Linked DNA regions of Neodiprion lecontei. The protein of the gene in region 1 interacts with the protein of each later gene in a biochemical or structural test. Links are inferred from orthologs where the notes say so. Each region holds a gene or a part of one and is shown on either strand. Other genes may lie near its edges.

Evidence for each region. The genes of interacting proteins can lie anywhere in the genome.
Region 2: the proteins of E3 ubiquitin-protein ligase parkin (region 1) and ubiquitin-conjugating enzyme E2 N form a complex in vitro, tested with the Homo sapiens proteins (6 studies listed by BioGRID). The link is inferred for Neodiprion lecontei from reciprocal best matches to the Homo sapiens genes PRKN and UBE2N.

What each region holds. Positions count from the first base shown.
Region 1 is NC_060260.1:36,825,439-36,833,643, forward strand, and holds E3 ubiquitin-protein ligase parkin, read right to left. Parts: upstream 4,862-8,205; 5' UTR 4,653-4,861; coding exon 4,395-4,652; intron 4,262-4,394; coding exon 4,048-4,261; intron 3,844-4,047; coding exon 3,474-3,843; intron 3,390-3,473; coding exon 3,188-3,389; intron 3,085-3,187; coding exon 2,908-3,084; intron 2,820-2,907; coding exon 2,685-2,819; intron 2,612-2,684; coding exon 2,527-2,611; intron 2,392-2,526; coding exon 2,282-2,391; 3' UTR 2,153-2,281; downstream 1-2,152. UniProt on the Homo sapiens protein: Functions within a multiprotein E3 ubiquitin ligase complex, catalyzing the covalent attachment of ubiquitin moieties onto substrate proteins. Substrates include SYT11 and VDAC1.
Region 2 is NC_060264.1:30,169,145-30,175,959, forward strand, and holds ubiquitin-conjugating enzyme E2 N, read right to left. Parts: upstream 4,410-6,815; 5' UTR 4,397-4,409; coding exon 4,362-4,396; intron 4,290-4,361; exon of another isoform or gene 3,758-4,289; intron 3,718-3,757; exon of another isoform or gene 3,491-3,717; intron 3,334-3,490; coding exon 3,082-3,333; intron 2,980-3,081; coding exon 2,769-2,979; 3' UTR 2,467-2,768; downstream 1-2,466. Other genes in the region: S phase cyclin A-associated protein in the endoplasmic reticulum, read left to right, coding at 5,911-6,121, 6,394-6,815. UniProt on the Homo sapiens protein: The UBE2V1-UBE2N and UBE2V2-UBE2N heterodimers catalyze the synthesis of non-canonical 'Lys-63'-linked polyubiquitin chains. This type of polyubiquitination does not lead to protein degradation by the proteasome.

The DNA.
Region 1 (8,205 bases):
TCAGTTAAGGATGTATTGGCTATACATTCTCAACTAAAAGTTAGTCTCGTCGACAATATTGAATACTTTATGATAAAATAAAAATCGGAAAAAATCAACCACTACAATAACGATAAGAAAATTAAATTTGAATAATAATAATGCCAAAAAGTTATCGATAAATTGTCTAAGTAAAACATTGTTTAACAAATTTTCGGGGAATGTTTTTTTGTCATGTGAAATGAATTTGTTGATTTTTCTGAATGCGCATGATTTTTTAAAGAATTTTTGCATTATTTTGAAATTATCGTTAGCGAAAATTTAAAATTTTGAACGATGGAGGAAAAATCGTGAATTTTAGATACGCTTTTCGTAAAAACGTTGTACATTAAAATTAAGAAGTTTCCGGTGCATTGTACGAATAGTATCGTAAAGATAGCCTTTACGAATGTTCGAAAACGGAAATTTCAAAATAATGAGAAAATCATTTAGAAATTCATGTGCACTTGAAAAAATCAGCGAATTCATTTCCTAAAAATTTGTTAAAACTTTTGGACATTATTATAATTCAAATTTAATTTTCATATCGTTTTTATTGTGGTTGATTTTTTCCGCTTTTCATCTTATCATAAAGAATTCAGTACTGTCGAGACTCACTTTTGGGTGGGAATGTATAGCCAGTACATTCTTAAAAATATTCACGCAGAGTAATTTGCTCGTACTTGTACCGAATGATTTACCCTTAACCACGATTTTTTTTCCACCATTTTCCGAAAGTAATCAATCTAAACAATAGAATGTAAACAATGATGATGGGAATCCGTACTTTATCTTTAAACTAATCATGTTTATTGTTTATCGTTCATCGAGGCTCGCGCGACAAATATAGAGCTCGAAGGTAGATGCTTATTTTAAAAAACACTGCAGGCTGCAGGAGAAGATAGTTTCCATTTTTAACGTGAAATATTCAAACTGTGTAGAAGACGCGCGCGTTTACTGTATGATTCCGGTCAAATATAACTAAGACTAAAAACTTTTAATTCTATCACTCCCACTCTCACAAACAAATCTCAACTTTAATGTTTGACTACACCGTAAACGTTTTACTTCACCCTTGTTCCTGTAATATTATACCTCAAATTTTTCAAATACGCACATTATAAATGTTAACGTAATTGTTATCGATAAAACCGAGACGACAGTATACGATAGTAAAGAGATGATTGTTACTGTTATAATGCAATTGAGGAGGCACACACACGTAAATTACAATAATTTTACGGTAGTTGAAGTCGGTAGTAATACCTACGTAAGTCGGAACAAAATCCGTCCATTTGAAAGAATGTCTGGCGAATTCTTGTCGCCTGTAAATAAGATACGGCTACGAATAGGATAATTATAGGTAATTAGCATAGGATTACAGAAGATTATCGTCTCCCAGGACAGCATTAAGGTAGTTCCTGCCATTTTCGTACACACAGACATGCGCCCCTCAAGTACACAAGCTTTGTTGGCGGTCTCTCTCACTCTCGTTGGCTCGCGTCGTACGTACCGTAAAATCCTCAACTTTGGATTAAAATTACTCTGAAACGGTACAGTGAAATATATATTACAATCAGCGAGGGAAGTTTTTGTCCGATGCTTTAACATACTCATTTTTCATTAAGATTCTCAGAGATAGGAAGTCAGGTGTAGATAATTGAAACTTTGACAATTAATATCTCGAGATTGATACGGTCAAGCTCACTCAATTTTGATAGCTGATGTAAAATACTGTTATGAAAGTGTGTACTTTTTTCTTAGAACGATTGTAAGAAAACTCATTTTGGGAGGAACTACCATAATAATATAAGCTATTATCGCGGTAAAGTCCTTATACTGTATAATTAAATACTCAGATACACACAGTGTATGTTTGCCTAAAGCTTAAGTAGTAACGGTAATATCCATATCCTAGAGACGCGAATTGTTAATTTGCCGCCTATCACTTTCCGATATACCTAGAAAATTTTTCAACATCGACTTACACAAATTTACTATAATGATAATAAAACCGTGAGTGTTCAGTGCTCTTATTTTTTATTACCATGTAAATATTGTACAGCCTGTAGGCGATTGAGAGGTTTCAGGTATAGAGGCATAAAGGGTGTATTCTGATGATAAAAATAAAAAATTGAAAAGAACAACAATTTATTTCACTACGTAGGTAAATACCTATCACAATTTTACCTGGCTTTCGAAGTTGCATTAACCTGATCCCATCACAGCATAAACAATTGCTGATATAAATAGTTTCAGAACATCATCCGAACCAATGACTTCCCATACAGTCTCTCGTCCATTCCGTCTGACAAACCCAGCACCACTGGAAACTACAGCCAGCTCTTGTACAAACCATGTGCATACAGCCACCTGCCAATCATTATTGTTCCCCAATCTCAATAGTTCATTATCATTTCCATATCCAAATTATGGCAAATATAACGGGCAAGCGAGTTAAAAACTCTTAATAAGGTAAGACTGAAAAATATACGTGAATAAGCTTACCATCTCGTTCAGTCGGTGTTCTACATTTCGGACATGGTTTCGTCGATATTTGAATGGTCTTCTTACTCGCTTCGTCCCACTTGGCCTGGAATTAAAATTAGGTTATCTGTGTGATTGTTTATCGATTCAAATAAGTAAATAAAAATAGTGTTACTTACCTCGCTAGCTCGCAGAGGATCAATTGCATAGCCTGAAAGACAGGAGACGGCGGAGGTAGAAGAATACGTCGTAGGCTGTTGTGAGTCACATTCACCTACGTGGAAACCTTGCAAGCATCGCCTACAGAAAACATACTATGGGAAAACACTGAATTATAGTGGTTTTTCAGCAGTGAGTAAGAGCTAAATGTCCTCGAGTACTGGCAACAATTTTATCACGTACCCCACAACCACCAATACATTGAATTCTACGACAGTCGTCCTCATCCGGGGATCGACTACGCTCCTCATCAGTCTGATCAGGTGGAATAATTCCCATTCCGCAATCAGGCCTCGGGCACAGAAGTCCTCCTGCCCTTAGAACGTATTCCTCAGTTCCAAATCGTTGGTACTGCTCATACTGTAATTTGAATTGCATTCATTCATTGGTAATCCAATGATATTTATGGAATGAGTGTGACGGTGAAAGTAGAAGAGGCCAATAATTTTAGGTACCGCTGTACCTGCTCAGGTGAGAGAAGACGGAAGTGATGAACTTCGGATATGTGCGAATTTTGGCAACCAGCCGGACATGGCAAGGTATAGTATCCGTGGTTGTCGTCAAACTCAAACTGACGATCCCGCAGACGAGCCACGCAATAGTCCCGGAAGCAGTCCAGGCAGGTTACATGTCCAGCCTCGCAAGGGAAAACCAGTACCGTGTCCCTGAAAAGTATTAACAAAGCTTGTATTAATTCTTCTTACGTTTACTTCTACACCAATTATTTATGTGCCAAATCAAAGCTTTACCTTGTATCCGTGCAAGCCAGACAAGGTACATTTCTCAGATTTGGTTTAATCAAATAAAGCGGTACCGCCTCATCTTTTTCTCCAAGACTCACGTGATTGGCGCACTTGAAATAAAACTGCGCGTATCTCACTTGAGGAGTACCTTCATCCTTCTGTGCTAAGGAAGACAGTAATGTCTGACAATCGTGATTCTCACAATGTACAGTTATTCTACGAGGCTGCTGCACGTCAGGCCAACACTGAGGGTCTCGATCCACAGTCACAGCCCCGCTACCACATGTCGCGCATCTCACTCTCAGCTTTCCTGCTTCCACTGATTTACATGGCAGCGAACAGTAAACGTAAAAATGGGCACGGGCTTGTTGCTGCTCTGTAAAATCATCACAACCACCAAATTCAAAAGAGTATTGTGATAATAATTACAGCTTAAAAACACTGCAGTGTAATTACGTAAACATATATTGACCAATTTTTTTGTTCCGTTCAACAAGAAATCTACTACTCGAGAATTCTATCGTCAAGACTTTAATCCTACAAAAGTCATTGCAATGGGGAAAACTAAATGTATGAATACCCTGCTCGCTGTGATTTTCATGACGGTCCGAATCCTCCAATGGTAAGTCGATCAAAGTTTCGTTCAGAGGTTTGCTTCCACTTTCATTTGCTTCCGATCCTTCATCTATAGATTCTTCGATAAGATTTTTAGTATCTTTTTTTCTATTAAGGCGATTTTTTCCGGGTGGCAATTTTATGGCATGCAAAATACTTTGCTGACCAAGATCGCATTCCTAGACAACAGATAAAAATATTTACATTTCAGATTAGAATTGAGGTTAGGTAGAAAAACACAATTGTTAATAACTAAATTTTGTACCGTAATAAAACGACACTTTACTGCTGATTATACGATTGTTAACATACCTCTATTATCGTGGAATTGTGCAACTCTTTACCAGCAAATATGATCTTGATATCTTCGGGAGATATGCCAAGCTGAGGCCCGACGATCTCTTTTAGGTTTCTGATGTCCCATTTCGGATCCAAATCAATGGAGAGCGTATTTCCCGTGTTAGTTTTCACGTAGATACTCAACGAGTTCGATATCTTTCGTTTTCCGAACCAAATCAACTGCAACATTCTCAAAAAGGCACCCTTCAGAAGATTGAACAGAAAACTCATTATAGAGTCTTTAATATCGAAGCAGTTCTACGTAGAATTTTGCTTTACGGTAACACCAAATGTTATCGCGATAAATGTGGAGGAGTACATGTTTGCATATGAAGCGTATTTTCTGCGTCAAATACGTATATTTTACAACCTTCAAAAAATCATTTCGAACCATTCGAACCCAAATTAGGTGCGAGATATATTCTAGTCAGACGCAGAGTGCAGCACTTGACTGTTGGGGCTGATAAAGGACATATTCTATTCGCCATCTTTTGAAAATGAAATGGTTGAAAGACTCACCTGATTGGTCAATATTCGAATATCAGCCAACCGGCTGCTTTTTCCAAAGCTTTCATTTTCAAAACGTGACAAATAAAATGCACCCAATATTTCACGCAGCATCGATTCAAATCAGGTAGCTCAGACCTGTACAGATGAATATTTATATACCGATCTGTTACTAGCCAAAGTATATACTATGTACGTTACCTTAATTATTCGATTGAATTATGAATTTGCAATCAATTCTTCCCCATGCGGGAGTTTTAACAATATTTGAGTTTCGTGCCGATCCCGTGAGCAAATAAAACGCTAGTATAACGGTAGCAACCCACTGAATTTCGGTTGTTTCGGTCAAAGAGGATAGTTTCAATCACGGTTTCAATGCCGAGTAGGCACTGAACTCTGTAATATATTTCGTCTCTACGTTTCTTGGCTTCATAATTATCATCCGATAGCATTGTTTTGGTAAAATAAAGTTCAAAATTTCCACCAGTGAAGATATGAAAATAGCGAAACCTCAATCAGATGTGATTGAAAAGAACCAAAAGTGGTGGCTGCGCTTTGTCCCTGATGCCAAAAAGTGGACCGATGTGAACATTTTAAGGTTTTTAAGCATCTACAAAGTTCATCCTATATTATGGGACCCTACGCATTCATTTTACAAAGATCGATCGAGAAGGATGAAGGCGTACGGTATAATAGCTAGGAGATTGAACTTGCTTGGTGTGAGTGAAAGAGAATGTATCAGATTAATGGAATCTCTGAAAGCCATGTACGCAGAAGAGATGAGGAAACAGATGATCGAAAAAAGATGCAGTCGAAAATATGTGTTTCCGTCAACCTGGTATCGCATTCTTGAAGAGATGATAGAATCTGTTCAAACAAAGTTAGCACAATCATCCGACAAGGGTCAGTAAAAATTACGTTGTCTGCTTCTAAGGTTGTGTGAAAGTAACAAAAAAAAAACTTCTTTCAAGTCTCCTCAGTAAAAGCAGAACCTGCAAAACCATGGCAAGCCTGCTGCCCAAGATTATACACCGAAGATATTTGGACACCGGAGCATTTCAAAACAAACGTCATGAATTGGTTTCTCGCACCGCAAGACCAGCAACTATTTTGCACCTGTCAACATTTTTCCGAAACAACTGTCGACAATAAATCAGACACAGAAAAGAGCTCCGATAATTCAGATTCTGTGTGCAATTCTAGTAACGGAATAAATCCATCAGATTCTTCTGATACGTGCTGTCCCAAGATTTGTGGAGGTAAGATAATCAAATTACTTACGCAAGCGAACGCTGTAGGGTTGAGAAATAATGCTTAATGTTTGATAGAAAATCCAAGCAATCATCACAGTAAAATTCTATGTTGCATAGATTCATTGTACAGCAAAGAAGAGGATAGCGACGTCAGTGTGGATTTGCTGTCATGTTGCGGACAAAATGATAACAGTAATTATCGGTATAAATATGGCAAGAAATCCACAAAATGTAAATCAAAGAAGCAGCACCGATGTATCAAGGAAGATGGAGGTTTATGTGAAGACAATTCATCCTATACGACAATTTGTCAAGAAAAATTGAACGTTTGTGGGAACGAACCTGCAGAGAAACCGTCTACTGAAATTTCGACGTGTCCAAAGAATAAGTTAGTCGATATTCCACTAAAGAATTTAATCTCCAAGGGTCTCTAGTCTAACTGATTAATTTACGATATTCGAGTTCCCCACGGAGATGCAAAAATATTTGTGTATTGGTTTTTTAGTAACGCACTTTGTGACAGTACAAATGTCTGCGGTAATGGATATCAGGACAAACCTTCACTCTGCGGAGGTGAATCGGAAATTAGTAAAGACTCACCAATGCGATGTGACTTGCAAAGTAGCACAGATAAATTCTCTCCCCATGATCCATCACAAATGTCATTCGAAACACCGATGATCCGCCCTTGTGGGCCTAGGCATGTTCTGGATTTCTGCTCCAGTCAAAGTCTTAGTGATGACAGTAAAGGAAGTGAATTGTCGACAAAACGTGAGACCTCAACCACAACGCAATCAAACGATACTTGTCTCTCAGACAGCGGTAAATTATCATCCTCGTTATCAAACAGTTCCGAACAAACCTCCTCAGTAGATTCAAACTGTAAGCCGATATGTGTAAAAGAAGAATCAGATCACAGATTGGATTATCATGTAAGTAGAATTGACTTGTGCATCAAAAATGTAATGCTTTTATAATCTCACTCGAACTACAATTTGCTTTATTGCCTGCATTATTTCACAGCCCGACCCAACTCTGTGTGAGAAATGCGCAGCGGACAGAGTTCCTGTACCAGCAGTGCATAAGAACGTTTTATTTTTCCAAGACCCTGGAATGCCAGAGCTGGATAAGTACTGTCGCTATAAAGACTGGGACCAGATATACAATATCAGAACTCAAGTTCCCGACGAAGAACCAAATATTCAGATAGACACGGACTGGTTACTCATGATGCAGAGTAAAGACGAACCGTCAAAACCAAAGAGAGACAATCATTTGCACACCCAAGCAGATGTACACCTATTTATAGATCCAGAATCGTCTGAAGCTAGACAAGTGAGTTTGAATAATGAATATAAGCATGAATATGGATTAAATATTCGAATCAAGCAGCCTGGGCATTACGCCTGCAAAGTCCCTGATGCACCAGGTGATAAGCCTGCACAGCTTATGTTGTGAATGGGGAAAATTCGGGAAGTACAAAAAGCTTTCGGTGTTATTTTCATGATGCTTAGGTAACTTTTAGTCTGTATTCGCGAGCTTTCAATGACTGAGGTATGGAATATAAATATTTAATAAAGAAGTTGGTATAGTAAGTTGACGGGTTTAAAAGAACTTAAATTTTTCAGCTGTACTAGCTCTTAGCCTTTATAAGGTTTTACCAAGAGCCTCTTTTTATTTTTATTTCTTGATGCATAAATTTTCATTCTCAACACACTGTGCACTAACATACAATTCACACTGTATTTGAAAATATGTTCGATGCGTTAGGATCATTAATATAGATTCATTATAACGCAGTTATTACATTTACCCAAAACAAATGGGCAGTCAAAAATCGATAATTTCTCAATCATACGTCATATTTATGAACATGAGCTTAGATGTACGAAAAAAAAAAAAATCACCATAAAAATGATGAAGAGTTACAATTTTATAGTTTTAAGAATCGAAATATTTTTTATACATCATTCATTTCATGCGCTCTCTACAAAACAGCACCCACTGCGTTATTGGTAGATCAA
Region 2 (6,815 bases), on another chromosome or scaffold:
ACAATGCCCATTCGTATAAAAAAAAAAATATATAAATAATTATACCTATCTTATAGATATACATACATACTATAGAGCTTACGCCGTAGCTTCACAAGTCATGAGTACTGCACTACAAAGAATATCATGACTCTCTATCAATGTTTGTGAGTGTATTATATAAATTAAAACTATTAAATAAGTGAGCTATTGAATGTGTATATGGTTATACTATACTAGTCCATACAAAGATAACAATAAACTGTAATTTTGAATTCAAATTCAAAATTCTATCCATTCCTTTGTACATATTTTATCTATGCTAGCTTCGTTGTTGCAAACATTTTTTTTCTAACAATCGATGGACCATTCGTACTTTAAAATTTGCATACAATCTATTGCAGGGTCTTTATTATTTCAAATATTTTATAGGGATGAAGATCGTAATGATCATCCAAACGCGTTGCGAAAAAAGGTTTCATTAAATCTCTCGTACAACAGACGGATTTTCCTCGTGAAGCTTGACTTGGGATTACGTTCATTTATCAAGATTTTCCTTTGTAATGCGTGAATTTTACTGCCTATAATTTAATTGGGATTTCATTGAATTTCTTTTTACAACGGCATTGTCCCTACCACCTTCTCACAATTCAAAATCAACCCTTTAACTACCCCCTTTTGATAAAAAAATCTTCCTGATCTGAATAATCCAGTTGATCGTGGGTAATAAAAATTTCTCCCTGAGAAAACTCGGAAATTTAGGAGAGTTTGATCCAATGAGACAATATTTTTGTTTAAACAACCTAGTTTATTAATACATAATAGTTACAATAATCATTATTACAATGTAACACAGCGTGTGTGCATATAAGTCTGTTTATCCGTATTCCGAAGTCTCTGTGTGTGTATATCTTCATATGTACAAAGAAATCACTCACTCGGAGTTAACATCACACCGGCGGCTTATAAGCTTACCGCCATCACTTTATTTTCCAGTCAAATGATTCCTTTTTCTTCCGGTTTAAGAAACGAAGTATTTCATTTTCTTGTCATCTTCAAGAAAATTATACGTATACACACATAAGTAATAATTATTATCATTATACACAAATATATGGATGTAGATTAAGGAATATTGTATACTTCATTACTAGGTCCGTCGACTTTCACGTATAGTATACTTTAACCAAATAATTCAGTTCATATCATCATTTTATTGTTCATAAATATAGTACATCTTCGTTTGCAGTTCCTTAAATAATGATCGATGATCCTTATCTTTCTCTTTCTCTCTCTATCATTCTCTCTTTCTCTCTATATATGTATGTATAACATACTATAATCACGGCTTCGCTACTGTATACCATACTATCGGCTAGTAATTTATAATCTGTTTTATTTCAGTTCGATATTCTTTACAACACAGGTTAATCGCATGACCAGATTATTCAGATTACACGTCTCTGCACTTGAGTTGGTAATATTCTTTGTTTTCATTTTAAGATACATGCTTCAAATCTATCCAAACATCAAATAAAAATAATTTGCTTCTAGTAGATGTTATTTCAATAAATAAATCCTGCAGTTGATAATTTTTACACGTAACTGTGGTGGCTAACTTCTAGAAGGCAGCAACAGTCACAAATACGTACAATTCTTCCCCATAGGGAACTATGTATGTATATACAATTGATACTATCATTCGTTGTACTTTATAAATATTCGTACACATATATAAAAAACCCCTAATAATTGCATAAATCCCAACAATTTAGTAGTAATGGTAGTAGTAGTAGTAGTAGTAGTAGTAGTAGTAGTAGTAGTAGTAGTAGTAGTAGTAGTAGTAGTAGTAGTAGTAGTAGTAGTAGTAGTAGTAGTAGTAGTAGTAGTAGTAGTAGTAGTAGTAGTAGTAGTAGTAGTAGTAGTAGTAGTAGTAGTAGTAGTAGTAGTAGAAGTAGTAGTAGTAGTAGTAGTAGTAGTCTATGAAAATGCTAGCCAGTACCAAATACTAGTAAAAATTCCAACTGACGATTATCTCTATGTTGTTATATGGTAAAATCACGTAGTGAGTATTATTATATTCCACATCTGTGAGAGCTCAACCAGTCAGTTAATATACAGCAGCTCTGCCATTCTCCTAAAAACTCGTATCACATATATGAAGAGTCGATCTATGGATTCTACCTTCTCACACGTCACTAGAAGCGTAGTTCAAAATAACGACTCTGTGAATCGTCGAGATAAAAACATTTTTCTTTCAGATAAAAAAAAGCGTAAAGAACCGATGTCTTTTTTCGAGTATTTGTGTGAATTTGCAACTCTATTGCTCTGATTTTCACCGCCGTTATTCAATTTGGATACATAATCAAGAGAGTAAAAAAATTAAACAAACGGTAATAAAATGGAAATAAATTTAAACGTCGAAACTGTGTGAATAATATCGAAAATAGAAAATGCAGTCTGTCATTTTAATTATAATACGTATAATTTTATTAGAAAAAACCTTTTATTCTTTCAAATAGCAAAATTTTCGACAGAGGTGCAGCAGTAGCAGCAGCAGCAGCAGTAGCGGCAGCGACAACAGCATCAGTGGCAACAGCAGGGGACTGAGATAGTATGTTAGTCTGGTGGAGGAAGGTGACAGGGTGGTGGTGCAATTTGTTCGAGGTCTAGGAGGAACAAGGTGGTAACGGGAACAAGGATCGTAAGATGGGGACGATGAGGCATTGGTGTTTTTGCCATGCGCCATGCGTGCGAGAGGAAGGCTCCGATAACGGACCAGGCTGAGATCAGTTGTCCATGGCGTATCTACGGGTCCATTCTTTGGCATTGCGTATCGCTTCACCTTCGTTAATCTTCCACAATTCGGCGACATCGTTTGCTAATGGATCATCAGGGTTTGGTGCACTCAAGAGAGCCTGTATTGATAGCAGTACTGTCCTTATCTGAAGAGCAGGACTCCATTTGTCCTTCAATATATCCAGGCAGATTCTGCCCAATCTGGTAACATGAAACCAAATACAATCAAATGTTTTAGTTATCAGTTCAGCTTTTTCAACAGTTTACATTGTAGAATACATTATAATAGTAGATGTAGCATACCTGTCTATATTGGGATGATATATTTTAGTAATAAATCTAACTTTAGGGGCTGACATAGGGTAATCCTCTGGTAAAAATAATTCTAGTTTAAACAGTCCGCCTTCGAACGGTGAGTCTTCGGGACCTGTTACAATGACGTGAAAGTATCTAGCGTTTGCATCGTCTGGTACAGCGCTGATGCCAGGGACCGGCTCCTGCATCAATCTCTGCGTCTCTTTTATTATACGGCGTGGTAGGTCCGCCATTATTAATCTGTAAGAAAAACGATCGACGACAATATGAAATCAGTGTCAGACAAAGTCAGCGAACTAAGGAGCGAAGAATAAACAGGCAGTCAATAACCTTACAGCAAAAGCAAAATGCAAAGTACATATATGTCAAGCCAAAAGTCTACAGCAATGATACGTACATATACAAATAGTTATCACGAATTTGTGTTATCAACTTTTCATTCTCTGATCAAAAAATCAAACGAGACATAATAGGAGTAAAAATGGAAGGAAAAAAGTACGGCAATCTCTCGCGAAAGCGGGATGACGGCACTTATATTCGAGTAAACAAAGGCGTATATCATTGGGCGGCGAGTAATTTCGACATTAGATCGAAGCCGTTGATCGTGCTGTGGCAAGCGATGGGTGTTTGCATTGCGGAACAGTAACTGTAACAATGTACGTACATTTTGGTTTAAAAAAATGTGCCCGCGTCACCCCGAAGGTCTGGCAGTATGCGTACTCCGTCACTGTTACTGGGGGTATTCGTGATCGCCTGCCAGCTCTCGCAAGATCCTCGGTGGTGGTGTACTACTTCCAGTTAGCGGTTTAATCGTGTATTATATTTTCTATTCTCGTTCGCCGATATCTAGCGAGGCTCTTCACCTTTTGGTTAAGTACAAATTAGGTTAACACGAGCCGGATAGTGAAATTAGAATTTTAGATAATCTACTAGTACCTAGGCTTTGATTTCTATTATGAAAAGAAAACTAATTTAATTTTTTAACACGATCAAGTGTGTGTATCCACAGCTAGGTTCTGTGTTTCTTGCAATTTCGATAGTTAACTTCCTCATACGCAGGTGGCGACAGTGGAGCGGAACGGGAATGGTGGATGATATTATTCAGTCTCGCCAATTTCGTCACGGATTGTAATTTCATTCGCTTGCTTTAGGCAAATGCGATAGTCAGGTTAACCTTAATCATCGACAAAAATTGACCAGCATATTATGAGCTATTACATTCACTTGTGCAACTTTTTTATGAATTGGATCGTAAAATAAAAATTTACCCTTGACGCCACAAATCAAGGGCATCCCAACACATGCGGCCGGTCCGGAACTTCAGCGTGTCTGGATTTTCATGGACAGCAGAATGCTGTCGCAGAAGCGCTACCTAGAATGCGTTCCGAAATTATCTGGCAGCGCCAAAAACTCTCTAGTACAGAGGCAGCGCTATACCCAAAATTGGCAGCGCAAAAGAGATGAAGGATTGTTGACACACAGGCTGCTATCGGAGCGCACCCCTACAGTGCCGCAAAACGGATTGTAGAGTAACCTGATCTGAAGCGTTATCTAGACCAGTCAGAAGGCAGCTTTAAACGGAAAATCTTCTTTTAACAAGTGCAAAATAAGTCAGAATCAGGCCCCTGCTTTATTGACATTCCTATTTGTCGAAAACTCGGTCGCGAAATAATATTGTATATTGCTACCCGTGAAAATCTAGGCTAAGGTCTCTCGTCTCCATGAGCTTAGACTTCGAAAGCGAGCGCGTCGACTTGGAACGTTGACTTATGGTATAGCCAAGATACAACGTAACGTGCATCAACGAGAGAGTTGTCAACGTTGAAAATACACGTAAAATTTGTAATGTTTGTTTACTATTATTCTTATACGACTCCTCTAATTTCAATTAATTTGAATTAGTAATACCGATCAAGCTTGCCGCTCGTGTCAAGCCAATGTCGTCAGGTAGGTAAGTTAAATCCCTTTCTGTTCTACGGAGCGTGACTCTGTCGACAACGATTAACAGAAGAGCACAGACCTGTCATCATTATCGTTTCAAAAGTCAAATGCGTCAGGAGCACGGAGACGTCATGTCATTGTTTCAAGCGTGTCCTCGCGTCTCGTTAACCCGTCGTTATAAATAAATAAAACGTATCACCGATCTATTTCGATTAAACGGAGCGTCAGAATTTATCTTTCTGGTATGTATCTGCTCCTTTCTATGGATGAAATGTATGTGCACACATGTATCGTATTATCAACATCGCAATGTTTACATACAAATTTACGTGAAACTTCATCACGGACGTCTGCCTCGTTCACACGCAGTTAATTATAATAATATTATCAGCCGTTAATACCGATTTTATCAAAGAATCAAGATCGCGATGCCTTTTGTTATCATTTGTTTACCAGCATGACCGAATTAATTTAACAAATGATAAGAATTCGTCAATCGGTGATTCAGCTTGATATAGGTATCTATTGTTTTCGCTGATCGCCTACCTAACCTGTAAAAATGATCGAAATATACTTGCAAATTTCAAGACGAGCCCCCAATTCTCATCTTTTGACAGCACTAAAATTGCTATTATTGATCGAATGATTTAGCCAATAAAAATTAATTACCTGGGCACTTTGATCTTCACTCAGGTCGTTGAAATCTAAAAATTTATTGAATCTCCCAACCCAAGTTTCGGCTCTGTTAAAATGAATCATATTGAATTTTCTTTTCCAGCACATTGGACGTCACCATAGCAGCTTTTCTCCCTAATTCATTTCTTGAAAATCATTTAAAACTCTCACGTACGTGAGTATTAATAATATACGGTAGGAATGGCTGATGTCAGACTCCTTATTCAAGAAGAAGGTCGTTCAGCTCGCAATTTGATAGCATTCAACGTCCCAGTTGTGTCAAATAACACTGAAAAGGTCCTTCGCAAACCACCAAGCATTCCAAAAATCTCTCAGCCAACACCGACCAAAAGGTGTTCAAAACCGACAACCAGAGTAAGATCAGCATCAACAGGAAGAGATAAAAAATCTGGTGGGTTGGTCGACTGTCTAAAAATAGATTGGAAAGAAATCAGAAAGAGACTGATTTTCTTATCGAGCCATTTTGAATATTTTTTTTATCAGGGGTTACTGGTTGTCAACATTCGACTTATTTTTACTAATTTGCAGGCAATGCTATGAACATTTGATTTGCTTCTCACTTATTTTCACTACATAGGTCACTTTTTTCGTGATTTTATCAATTTGTCTTATTTGTGACCAATTGTGTCTTTATGTATCCATCATTCTACAAATTCTTTTCAGAACTTCAGGCCAGATACTGGGCCTTTCTCTTTGGCAATCTTCAGCGGGCTGTAGATGGAATATACCAGACATGTGAAGAGGATGAGAGTATATCTGAGTGCAAGGAGGTAATACTAGTCCTTGAAAATTACACCCGTGATTTTCACAATCTGATAGAATGGTTCAAAGTAAAATGGGCCTATGAGAGCACTCAGCCTCCACTAAGGCGTGTGCCGCTGGCTTGGGAGGTGAGAAAAACTTCTCCCGGCAGAGCTTGGGGGTCGTCAGGAACACAGAAATCTATCAGCCCTGTCCAGAGGTCGAGTCCCACAGGATCATCATGCAAGAGTCCAGTCGACCAAACGATTATCGAAGACAAAGTAATCGTCACTGATATACCGGCTAAAGTTGCAGCCAACAAGGATCAAGAATCTGGTCTTACC